Linked DNA regions of Cricetulus griseus. The protein of the gene in region 1 purifies or fractionates together with the protein of each later gene. This does not show direct contact. Links are inferred from orthologs where the notes say so. Each region holds a gene or a part of one and is shown in the gene's direction. Other genes may lie near its edges.

Region 1 (4,073 bases):
TTTGTGAGTTTGAGACCAGCCTGGTCTATAAGAGCTAGTTCCAGGACAGCCTCCAAAACCACAGAGAAACCCTGTCTCTAAAAACTGGGCTTTGGTGGCGCACGCCTTTAATCCCAGCACTTGGGAGGCAGAGGCAGTGGATCTCTGTGAATTTGAGGCCAGCCTGGTCTCCAGAGCGAGTGCTAGGATAGGCTCCAAAGCTACACCGAGAAACCCTGTCTCGAAAAACAAAAACAAAAAAAACCAAAAACAAATCCCAGCATTTAGGATGTAGAAGCAGTAGGATCCCAGGTTGGAGGTTGGGCTGCTTTTTGAAACCATTTCAAAACAAAACAAACCAACCAAAAAAATCCACCCCCCCCCAAACCAAACAACCCAACCCCAAACATCCAAAACCAAATAATCTTCTTGGATGACACAAACGACCTACTTGTGCCTTAGGCCACGGAAGGCAGTCACTAGCCACATGAGGCTATGAGCAAAAGTGCCGGATGGACACCAAGAAATGGGATCGCTGTATTTAGGGCTTTTGTTCCTCGCCCTCAGTGCTGGGGGATGAACACGGAGCTTCACCGAATTCATAATTTCTTAGCTGAGTTAATTGTAGATCTAGTGAAAAGGCCCAGAAGCATCCTTCATATTTCTGAAGATTATCAGATGGTAAGATTTTTAAGCACATGAGTTCACCAACATTGAGTTATCACAAAGCTGAGGCAAAACGATTTCCGGAGCCAGGCATCTATTTCGTAGAAGGGGATTTAGATGTGCTTTGAACAGACAACACTAACTTTGGAGCTGTGAGTCTTATTCTAAACAAGACACTCTCCCAAATGCTTTCTCTTTTCCTATAGAGCTTTGTTTGGCACAAAACTTATCCGGGATGACATCACCATAACGTGTTCCAAAGTTGAACACATGCTATTAGACTAACCTAGATGGTATTTAAATAGAACTCATACTGCATTAAAAAAAAACTTGAAGACTAAGAAGAAAAAGAACTGGAGCGGCGAGGAAGACAGAGCTGGCCGGTGACATTCCAAGGAACTTTCTCACCTCCCCGGGCAGACACCGTTCAACGTAGTTCCAGGGTGGCGCCCGGCCCCGCCCCTCCCACCTGGGCACTCTCCGGACCACGCCCCCTCGCGATCGCCCCTCCTCCGAGACGTCCAACACACGCGGCGCCCAGGCGACGCGCTGACGTCCGACGCTCCAGGTACTTTCCCCAAGGCCGGCTCGGATCAACGTGGGGGCGGGGCGGGGAGCGGAGCGCGCATGCGCCACAGCGCCACAGCGCCAGCGCTCTCCCCGGATAGAGCGGGGCCCGAGCCGCTCTGCTGTGGTGGTTCCGCTCTCGCTCGCGCTCTCCCGCCGCCATGTCGGCCACCATCGAGGAGGAGTTCGAGGAACTGGATGCTCAGTGTCGCTGGCAGCCGTTATACTTGGTGAGTCTCTGGCCCGCGCGGGGTCTGAGTCTTCCGAGGATCCGAGCTCGCGCCTGCCGGCTCCGTGTCGCCTCCCCCGCCTCCCGTTCGGGCGGAAGTGGCGAGCGCGGGCCGCGTCAGGGGCGCGCCTGCGCGGAAAGCCCTCACCCCCCTTTGCGAGGCTTTAGACGGGAAGCATCGAGGTGGCTGGAAGCTGTTGGTTGTGAAGGCGGCGCCACAGCGGCGCCTGCTGGCTGCGCGGCCCGGCCCCGGCGTGTAGTGCGCTGGGTGGAGGGTCGAGGGACCCCGGGAGCGGGGTGACACAGTCTCCGCTTGCTCGTCGACAGCGTCCTTGTCGGCCGGTGTTCGGTGGCCGAGCGCGTTGGTAGCCGGTGCAGCGCAAAGGGCGAGCAAGCCCTGTGATCGGAGCCAGCCCGGGCGAAGCGGGGTCTTGGTGACTTGCTGTGTTCTCGGGGGCCTGTGGCGATAGCAGAACCGGAGCTAAAGCGGTGGCGAAAGCTCCCAAGGGATTGGGGATCGTCAGTCCTTTTTTTTTTTTTTTTTTTTCTTTTTTTCATGGGCTGCTTTCTCCCGGAGAGTGGGGTCATCGTATGCTAGAGCTTCCCGGAACAGAGGCTTTGGTTTTATTATCAGTGACTAAAGTAGCGTCCTCTTTAAAAAATGTCCTTTGCTTAGGCATACTTTACAGATGTGTATATAGTGCACCGCAGATCTTTATATGAACTTTGCTTTTGGGCGCGTTTCCCAAATGAGTGCCCCCGTGGTTGAAGCGCTCACTCTTTCGGCCCCAAAGAGGCCACATGTCCATAGGCTGCCCCTGTTTTCTGTCGTCAGAGAATAACCTTACCTATTGTGCTCGTACTAAAGTAGTCTGTACTATGAACGCTTGTGACTACGTTTTTTCAGCTAGTGGCTTACCTTTTAATACAGGCAAAACTTTACTACCCTTAAAAATGATTCGTTGCTAATCATTAACATTGCTCCCAAGATGGAATTTAGTGATTGGTGAGTTATTAAATATGTCTTCCTATGTTTTGGCTTATTCCTACAGTAAAATTGAAGCTAGAAAGCTTTCTTTTACCTCCGGATGATTCTTTTTTTTTTTTTTTTTTTTTTTTTTTGACTTATTTCTTCTTCTATCCCACTGTGAGACAGGTTCTTGGTCTGTAACTCTAGCAGGCCTGGAACTAGCTTCGTAGACCAGCCTGACCTTGAACTCACAAATCCCACCTTTGCTTCCTGAGTGCTGGGATTAAAGCCATGTGCCACCACATCTGGTTAGAACATTTTCTTAAACACTTTAGCATAATCAATATATTAAACATTCTGATTTGCCAGGTTCAGCATAGAATAAGGCACTAGTTATTATTATTTACTACTACTACTACACGGGAGGAGGGCAGTCCCCTTGGCATTTGTGTAGAGGTCATAGGACAACTTTCAGATTTTAGTTGTCTTGTAGTATGTGTATCCTAGAAATAGAACTTGGGTCATCAGGCTTGGAAACAAATACCTTTTACCCCCTGAGCCATCTTTCCAGCTAATATGCTAGTTTCTAAAGAATGTTAGTGAGGACGCTTCCCATTACAGAATCTGTGTTATACTATGTTTTGTTTTGTGACAGGGTCTCATTGTAGCTCAGACTGGCCTTGAACTCTGATCTCAGATTTCCACTGTCAAAGTGCTGGGATGAATGCAATTGTAGAAAACTTAAAAACAACTTATTTTTATTTTATTTGAATTGGTGTTTGCATGTATGTCTGTGTGAGGATGTTGGATGCCCTGAAACTGGAGTTACAGACAGTTGTGAGCTGGCATGTGGGTGCTGGGAATTGAACACTGGTCCTTTGGAAGAGCAGCCAGTGCTCTTAATTGCTGAGCCATCTCTAGCTTATAGAAAATCTTAAATGCAAATTCTAGTCTGTTTTCTCTCTCTCTCTCTCTCTCTCTCTCTCTCTCTCTCTCTCTCTCTCTCTCTCTGTGTGTGTGTAAAATAATAGTAATAATCAATTTTAAAGGGCTAATATTACAACTAAATTTAGCCTAACATTTATTTTTTTGAGACAAAGCCTTGCTTCATATTGCAAACAGGCCTGAAATTTACTATGTAGCCCTACTAGGTTTAGATTTGTAGCAGTTCTTCGGCCTCACACTCCTAACTGAAAGGAGCCAACATACTTGACTTAATTGGATATTCAAATGTTTAACATTAATGTCCTTGGGAAATCAGTGAAAGTTGTGACCGATCTTAACAGAAAAAAAAGCACACTCTGGGTGTGGTGGCTCAGCCTGTAACCTAACAATTAGGAGGCTGAAGCAGGAGGATTGTTGTTATTCCCCCCCTCCCACCTCCCCAGACAGGGTTTCCCTGTGGCTTTGGAGGTTGTCCTGGAACTAGCTCTTGTAGACCAGGCTGGTCTTGAACTCACAGAGATCCTCCTGCCTCTGCCTCCCAGGTGCTGGGATTAAAGGCATGCACCACCACTGCCCGGCGATTGTTGTGATTTTAAGACTAGCCTGTAGCTGGGCATTGGTAGTCCATGTCTTTAATCCCAGCAGAGACAGGCAGCTCTCTGAGTTTGAGGCCAGCCTCGTTTACAGAGTGAGTTCCACAACATCCAGGACTATTTT
Region 2 (4,018 bases), on another chromosome or scaffold:
TTTTGTATTTCACATAGGTGAAAATAGGCTGAATTTAGGAAGCTTAATCAAAGAACACAGCTGGTACATGGCAGAATTTGGTTTTAGTATCATAAACTTCTAAAGTTTGAGTTCCCCCATCTTTTCAAGTTTTTATTTCAAAACAATTTATACTTACAAAAAAGTTGTAATATATCCCGACAACTTTTCATATACTCGTCATCTGGACTCATCAGCTGTTAGACAAACTGTTTTATGGCACAATATCCAGTGCAGGTCCAACATATCGATTGGTATGCGACTGACTGAACTGGTAGAAATTCGTTACAGAGAACTAAAGCAAGCATGGAAATGTACAGACATCCTAAAGACAGAACAGGCAGAGCAGCCACGGGCTGTCCAATTTCTGTCAAAAGGCTGGAGAAGTCGTTGACAGTGGAAAGGGATGGTTATGCGTAGAATCCTGCACTGAGTGCAAAAGTGATAGGTTTTAAAGATGAGCAGTAGCAGGGGTGCTGGCTCATGCCTGTAATCCCAGCACTCCCTAGGCAGAGGCCGCACCATGAGGTCTAAAGTCATGCTATATAGCGAGTCTGAGGCTAGCCTGTACTAATAAACACGTAAGCTTCAGGTAGTATCACTCACTCAACTGAGGCGTGTGTGTGTGTGTGTGTGTGTGTGTGTGTGTGTGTGTGTGTGCGCGTGCGTGCGTGTGTGTGTGTTTTGCGGTGTGTGTGTGTGTGTGTGTTTTGCGGGGGTGTGTGTGTGTGTGTGTGTGTGTTTTGCGGTGTGTGTGTGTGTGCGCGCGCGTGTGTGTTTTGCGGTGTGTGTGTGTGTGTGTATGTGTGTGTGTGTGTGTTTTGCGGGGTGTGTGTGTGTGTGTTTTGCGGTTACTATTCCACAATGGTGTGAGGCTAGACATAATCACACTGCCGTCACAGATCTCCGCCGAGAGTCTTGTCCGTTTGTCGCACCACGCACCAGCTGTGGTGAAGCCACGGGAGAAGAGAGCTAGGTTTCGCCACTGAGCACTTTCTTAACAGCTCAGAGACGTCGAGATGCCACAGCAGTCCCCAGCGCCAGAGGCCGGAACTGTAATACCCCGCCTGCCTCAGGGGGCGGGGCCCGGAATCCGCTGGGCGTTTCCGGTCTGGAGGATGACGCGCGAGGCCGTCTGGGAAAAGGGGCGGTGCGAGCAGGTGCGCGCGCAGCGGGCCGGCAGTGGTGGCCGAGATGGAGGAGGGTGGACGAGACAAGACGCCGGTGCAGTCCCAACAACCCTCAGCGACGGCCCCGGCTGGCGCGGACGAGAAGTCGAGCGGCAAGGAGCGGCGGGATGCCGGGGACAAAGACAAAGAGCAGGAGCTGGTGAGGCTCAGCTTCGGGAGCATGGAGAAGAGGCCTCGGGCTGAGTCACTGCTGGCTCGAAGGCCTCGGGCCCGACTCCCTACGGCCCACCGCAGCCGGGAGACACAGAAAAGGGAGACGTTGCTTTTATGCCCCCCTCATTACGCACTGCCATCCCCTGCGGGCCTCACCAACTCTTCCTGGGTCTTTGCCATAATACCCTGGAACGGCTTCCAAGCAGAGCCTACCTGGCTCTAGACTGCCTTTCCAGCAAGGTTGCTTCCGGTCCTGCTCCCATCTCTTGTCCATCTGTCCCTCCTGGGGTGCATTCGCACTCTCCACCTGTCCCGGGGTGAATGGGAGGAGAATGTGATTAGGGTTAATGAGCTTCTTCCTTCAACCTTCCAGTCTGAGGAGGACAAACAACTTCAAGATGAACTGGAGATGCTCGTGGAGCGACTCGGGGTGAGTCAAGATGTTTCCTGAGCGGGGAGTATATTTGGATGTTTCCCACTTGTTTGCTCTGTATCATTTTGAGGCAACGACTAGGTATCACATATTAGATATGATGATGCCAGGGAAAAGAGTTACAAAGGATATTTGAATAGCGTCCTGTGTCTCAGGCAATTTACAGGAGTTAGGAATCATGGAATAGGAACCAGTTATGTCTTTATGGTTGTGATATGGAGAAATGTGACTCCTTTTGGTCTGAACCCTGACATCCCCTGATCAGGAGAAGGATACATCCCTATACCGACCAGCCCTGGAGGAACTGAGAAGACAGATTCGTTCTTCTACAACTTCCATGACTTCAGTACCCAAGCCTCTAAAATTTCTTCGTCCACACTATGGCAAACTGAAGGAAATCTATGAGAACATGGCCCCTGGGGAGAATAAGGTAATTCAGAATATGGTGGGTGTCTGTGCAGTTGAAGAATTCTGTTATTTTATTATTTTGAGACCGGGTTTCTCTGTGTAGCCTTGGCTGTCCTGGAACTCACTCTGTAGACCAGGCTGGCCTTGAACTCACAGAGAGCCGGCTGCCTCTGCCTCCCAAGTGCTGGGATTAAAGGCATGGGCTACCTCTGCCCGGGTGAAAAATCCCTTTTTAAGTAGACAACCGGACCCATGGTAAGTCACTGAAAGCCTCATAGACCAGACCTAGCACAAAAGTTCATGATAATCAGAATTAGCCCCTCAGCTCCTTAGAAGACCTTGAGGTTTTCTTGGCATAATGCGTTTCTAACTTTTAAATTTTTTATTTTGTTTATATGTTAGTGTGTGTGTGTGTGTGTGTGTGTGTGTGCGCACATGCCTAGAGGCCACACCTATGCATGCATAGAGACCCTTGGTATTTAGAGGTGTTTGTGGTGTGCCTGGCTTGTTAGATCACAGTGCTAGGATTTGAACTCTGATCCTCATGATTATGTAGGAAGTGTTCTTAACTGTTGAGCCATTGCCAGCCTCTCTAACCTATTTATTTCTTGTGGCCCAGTTTGGCCTCAAACTCACTCACTATGTGGCCTGGACTAGGAGTGAATTTGTGGCATTCCTCCTCCTGCCTCAGACTGTGGAGTGCTGGGTTTGGAGGCATAAACCAGTATGCATGGTTTTCATTTTTCTTTCAATTATTATTTATTTTATTTTATGTGTGTGGGTGTTTGCCTGCATGTATGTTTATGCAGTATGTGCATTCAGTGCCTGTGGAATCCAGAAGAGGGCCTCAGACCCCTGAGTTACAAGCACTGTGAGCTGCTATGTGCACACTGGGGCTATGGAACCATGGTCCTGTGAAAGAGCAACTGGTGCTCTTAACCTCTGAGCATCTCTCCAGCCCCAGAAGTCTATTTCTAGTGGATTATTGAGTAGTCTCCTAATTGGCTTGCTTTTGTCCTTGACCTCCTACATCTGTCTTTTTTTTTTTTTTTTAAATAGGGTTTCTCTGTGTAGCCCTGGCTATCTGGAACTCACTCTGTAGACTAGGCTGACCTCATAGTCAGAGATCCACCTGCCTCTGCCTTCTGAGTGCTGGGATTAAAGTTGTGTGTCACCACCAGGTGGAAATTTTTATTAAAGATTTATTTTTACTTTATGTGGATGAGTGTTTTGCCTGCCTGTATGATATATGCCTACTACCTGTATGTAGTGTCTGTGCAGGCTAGAAGCGGAGAACTGATCCGTAGAACTGGATGAGTAAGACTGTTGTGAACCCTTCCATGGGTTCTGGGAACTGAACTCAGTTCCTCTGTAAGAGCAATGTGTTTTATTAACTGTTGAGCCAGTTATTCAGACTTGTAGATTATGGGTCTTTTTGTTGTTGTTGTTGTTTTTTTTTTTTTGAACCCTTTTTGTATGTTTGTTTTTGAGACAGGGTTTCTCTGTGTAACAGCCCAGGCTGTCCTACAACTTGCTTTATAGATCAGGTTGGCCTCAAACTCAGACCTACCTGTCTCTACCTCCTGAGGGGTGGGATTAAAAGTGCTCACCACTACTGCCCAGCTTATTAAAAACTTTTTTTTTTTTAACATTTTATTTATTTATTATGTATGCAACATTCTGCTTCCATGTATATCTGCACACCAGAAGAGGGCACCAGATCTCATAATGGATGGTTGTGAGCCACCATGTGGTTGCTGGGAATTGAACTCAGGACCTCTGGAAGGGTAGACAGTGCTCTTAACCTCTGAGCCAT
Region 3 (3,971 bases), on another chromosome or scaffold:
GGAGGCAGTAACTGAAACAGACCATGGAGGAAATGTGGTTACTCTATCATTCTCAGCTTACTATCTTATACAGCCCAAGGGTGGCACTGTCCACAGTGGGCTGGGCACATCATGAGTTAGGAAAATGCCTCACAGACATGCCCACAGGCCAATCTGATGGGAACCAGTCTCCCATTCAGGGTCCCTCTTACCAGGTGACTCTAGTTTGTGTTAAGGTTATTAAAACCGCCACTGGAGCCAAGACAAACGACCATTGCTTTACCTAGGATTCAGTCAGTGTGGTCCTTTGTCTCCCTCTTTCTTACATTTATAAGGGTGTTGACGCCGTCTGTTGCTCTTCAGTATTCCTTTTAAACAGACTCGTTAAACCATGTCCTGTGTGTGAAATTCTTCAGTGACCTCTGCTTGGCTTGCTTAAGGTGTTCTTTTGAAGCCACAACCCTACTCTCCAGAAAGAAAAACAATCATTTTCCTAAACATTTTGTTTGAGAGAACTTACTCAGATCAATGCCAATGTTTTTACTAAAAATTAACATCATCGAGCCAAGGTGTTCCTACGTAGTAGTCATGCCGGTCTAGAACTTGCCATTCTCCTGCCTCAGCCGTCCCAGTGCTGAGTGGTGTGCTAACGATCCAGGCTCAAAAATTATTTTGTTAATGTTTTATGGGACTAATAAATTACTAGGCAAAATGGGAGAGAGCCGAAGAGAATACCCAGAAGGTTCCCACAAACGAGTGGCGTGTGAATTCTTTGAACGTGAGGCACTGACGTATTTCGCGATACTCCCTCAGCCTCCAACCATGCCATCGTTCATCCAATAAGCGCGCTCGGTGTGTGAGGCACCTACCATGTGAGAGGGTGGCTATGGAGATGTGAGGTGTGTGGGGAGGGCGGTATCCGTCCATTCTAGAAGAGCTTAGTAAGGACACGTTTGTCTCCATAACTTGTACGTGTCTTTACTTTTCCGGACTGCAAACCTCGTTCTCAGAGACCCACGCCCTGGCCGCGTCCACTCGGGAAAGAACGCTTCAGAGACTCCGCTTCCCGGCAGCCCCTGCGGCGGGCGGCGGAAAGGCGCACGCAGGCGCGCAGGCCGGCCCCCGCACGCAGGCGCACTGCGCACGCCGGCTGAGCTGGGTCTCGCGGCTCGGTGCGCGGCGGCGGCGCGGCGGCGGCGCGGGCGGCGGCGAGAGCGAGGCCTGGTGAGCGCCGCCGTGGTGCGCGCCGGCCGGTCAAGGTTGTGCGCGGAAGAGGCGCAGCGGGCCGACAAGAAGCGAGCGTCTCACCCTCACGGCGGCACCGGGACCGGTCGCCTGGAGCCGGTGAGTGGGGGGCTTCCCCGCGGCCCCTCCCCCTCGGCGGGCGGCTCTGGTTCCCTCCGGGGACCCGAGGGAGGCCCCGGGGCGAAGGCGGACGCGGGCGCCGGCCGGGAGCTGTCGCTGTCGCGCCGGGGACCGGACCTTCGCGTCGCTCCGGTGCGTCACGGGACTGGCGGTTCTAACGGCCCGCGCGGCGGCGGCGGCGGCGGAGGAGCGGGGTGGGGGTGGGGAACGCCGGTCGGGGCGGGGCGGCGGTGGAAGCGGCGTCGGGGACTGCGGGGCGCCGGGCGGCGGCGCGGAGTCTGCGCGCCGCGCTAGGCTGAGGGCGGGGGCGGAGGCGGGTGTCGCGGGGTGCGGTGGCCGAGGCCCAGGCGTGCGGGGCCGTTCCGGGAGTTGGCAGGTTACCGCCCGGGCCGGTGTTTGGAGGGAGGCGGTGGGGGTGGAGACGGGAGGCTGCAGTTTACAGATGTCATAACTACGCGGGCCTGGAGCTGCTGACGGGGGTGTGGTAATTATAGCAATGACAACTTGGTCGTCTGTGTGAGCGGTGATGCGAGGGAAACCGCCAAGCGTTAGCTGAAGCTCGCAGTGGGAGCAGAAAACTGGAGGGCGACTGAAGTCAGGGATGTCGGCAAGAAAGAAGGAGAGGGTTGAATGCGTGCGATCCTCTTGGCAATGAAAAGTTTCAAATGAATTGATTTTCTTTTTAAGGCTTAAACTTCGGTTTGGTAAACTAGTATCAGAATCAACAACGGAGAAATGCTTTTGAAATTCTGTGTGAAACACTAACATCTATCCTTTTTTTTTCCCCTTAAAACAGTTCCTTCAAATCCCACCTCCCTGTCACTCTCCCCCCCCCCCTTTTTTTTTTTTTTTTTTGAGGATGGGTTTTGCTTGGTAGGCTGTCTTTGTGCTTGTCCTGGCTTCTTGGGTGCCAGGATTTCCATCACCCTAGATGATATTCCCACGTTCTTGTTGCTTTGTTGCCTTTTCTTTGTTTTTGAGACAAGGCTCACTATGTAGTCATGGCTGGACTAGCACTGGATACATTGCCCATGGTTGTCTTGAATTCAGAACTGTCTTCCCTCAGCCTCTCAAGTGCTGGGGTTTTAGGAACAACAGCATGCCTGATTGACTCATACAAATTCTGAGACAGGGTCCCTTTACATATTCCTCCTAGAACTCACATGTAGACCAGGCTGTCTTTGAACTTAGAGATCCACCTGCCCCTGACTCGTGAAATTCTGGAATTAAAGACATGTACTGTCACGCCTCCATTGTTTTTTTTTTTTTAATGTTTTAACTTTTTTTTTTTAAAGAATTATTTATTATACAGTGTTCTGCCTACATGTATGCCTGCAGGTCAGAGAGGGCACTAGATCTCATTGCAGATGATTGTGAGCCACCATGTGGTTGCTGGGAATTGAACTCAGGACTTCTGGAAGAGCAGGCGGTGCTCTTATCCTCTGAACCATCTCTCCAGCCCTCACACCTCCGTTTTAAAGTTTACAAGGTCTAAATTTTGAAAGGAAACTGAGAGTGATTTGTCTGTAATTTTGGTGAAATAACTTATTTTTTGTTACCTTTTTATGTAATGTTTTTGGATGGGTGATTTAAAATAAGATGGAGGTCTGAGAGGAAGTAAAATAAAACAAATTTACAGTAACTTTGAACTAGATGTTAACTTTTCCTAGTATAGATGAAAGCATGGAAGAGCACAGTATTTTCAGAATAGCTTGTTTCTTAAACATATTTTGCTTATTTTTTATGAATGTGAGTGTTTTGCCTGAATATATGTAATGCATCATGATCGTGCCTGGTGCTTACAGAGGGCAGAGAGGGATTTAGATCCTTTGAAACTGAACTTGCAAAGGGTTTGAGCTGCACTACGGGTGCTGGGAACCAAACATGGGTCTTCTTCAAAAGCAGCAAGTGCTCTTAACTGCTGAACCATCTCTCTCATTCAGAAATCACTGGAAGAAGATGGCATAGCTCTTGAAATCTTAGTCGTAGGGAATCAAATTGTTACTCATTGACTATAAAGAGTAAGAGCTAGGGCCGGGCGTTGGTGGCGCAGGCCTTTAATCCCAGCACTTGGGAGGCAGAGGCAGGCAGACCTCTGTGAGTTCGAGGCCAGCCTGCTCTCCAGAGCGAGTGCCAGGAGAGGCTCCAAAGCTACACAGAGAAACCCTGTCTCAAACAACAACAACAACAAAAAAAAAACAAAAACAAACAAACAAAAAAAAGTAAGAGCTAGTAGCTTGTGCCAATAATACTAGCATAGCAAAGCCTAGTATGGGGCAGGAGTGTAGCATGCCAGAGGCCTGGAGTTGACCGCACACACAATTTTACAAAGAGCCTGACAAAATCAACCCTGAAAAACCTCCAGTAAAGTAATGAGAATAAAGATATTACTTGAAATCAAATATTTGGATTATGCTTTTTTTCTTTCTTTTTGAGACAGGGTCTCTCTGTAGACTCAGCACCCTTAGAACTTTGTAGAGAAGTTGGACTCAAAGTCACAGATACCCACCTGCCTTTGCCTTGAAAGTTCTGGGAATAAAAATGTGTCTCACTATGCCAGGCTATTATGCACATTTTATTTTATTTTCTTGGGGCCAGGGATCCATTTCCTAGACTTACACATACTG

Evidence for each region. The genes of interacting proteins can lie anywhere in the genome.
Region 2: the proteins of Ptpn2 (region 1) and Psmd2 purify together in Homo sapiens (affinity purification with mass spectrometry; 3 studies listed by BioGRID and IntAct, with this or other methods). This does not show direct contact. The link is inferred for Cricetulus griseus from reciprocal best matches to the Homo sapiens genes PTPN2 and PSMD2.
Region 3: the proteins of Ptpn2 (region 1) and importin subunit alpha-5 purify together in Homo sapiens (affinity purification with mass spectrometry; 3 studies listed by BioGRID and IntAct, with this or other methods). This does not show direct contact. The link is inferred for Cricetulus griseus from reciprocal best matches to the Homo sapiens genes PTPN2 and KPNA1.

Annotation. Positions count from the first base shown.
Region 1 is NC_048595.1:171,691,516-171,695,588, forward strand, and holds the start of Ptpn2 (tyrosine-protein phosphatase non-receptor type 2), read left to right. Parts: upstream 1-1,265; 5' UTR 1,266-1,373; coding exon 1,374-1,442; intron 1,443-4,073. UniProt on the Homo sapiens protein: Non-receptor type tyrosine-specific phosphatase that dephosphorylates receptor protein tyrosine kinases including INSR, EGFR, CSF1R, PDGFR.
Region 2 is NC_048597.1:67,993,235-67,997,252, reverse strand, and holds the start of Psmd2 (26S proteasome non-ATPase regulatory subunit 2), read left to right. Parts: upstream 1-1,212; coding exon 1,213-1,347; intron 1,348-1,734; coding exon 1,735-1,791; intron 1,792-2,059; coding exon 2,060-2,224; intron 2,225-4,018. UniProt on the Homo sapiens protein: Component of the 26S proteasome, a multiprotein complex involved in the ATP-dependent degradation of ubiquitinated proteins.
Region 3 is NC_048597.1:53,691,087-53,695,057, reverse strand, and holds the start of importin subunit alpha-5, read left to right. Parts: upstream 1-1,165; 5' UTR 1,166-1,323; intron 1,324-3,971. UniProt on the Homo sapiens protein: Functions in nuclear protein import as an adapter protein for nuclear receptor KPNB1. Binds specifically and directly to substrates containing either a simple or bipartite NLS motif.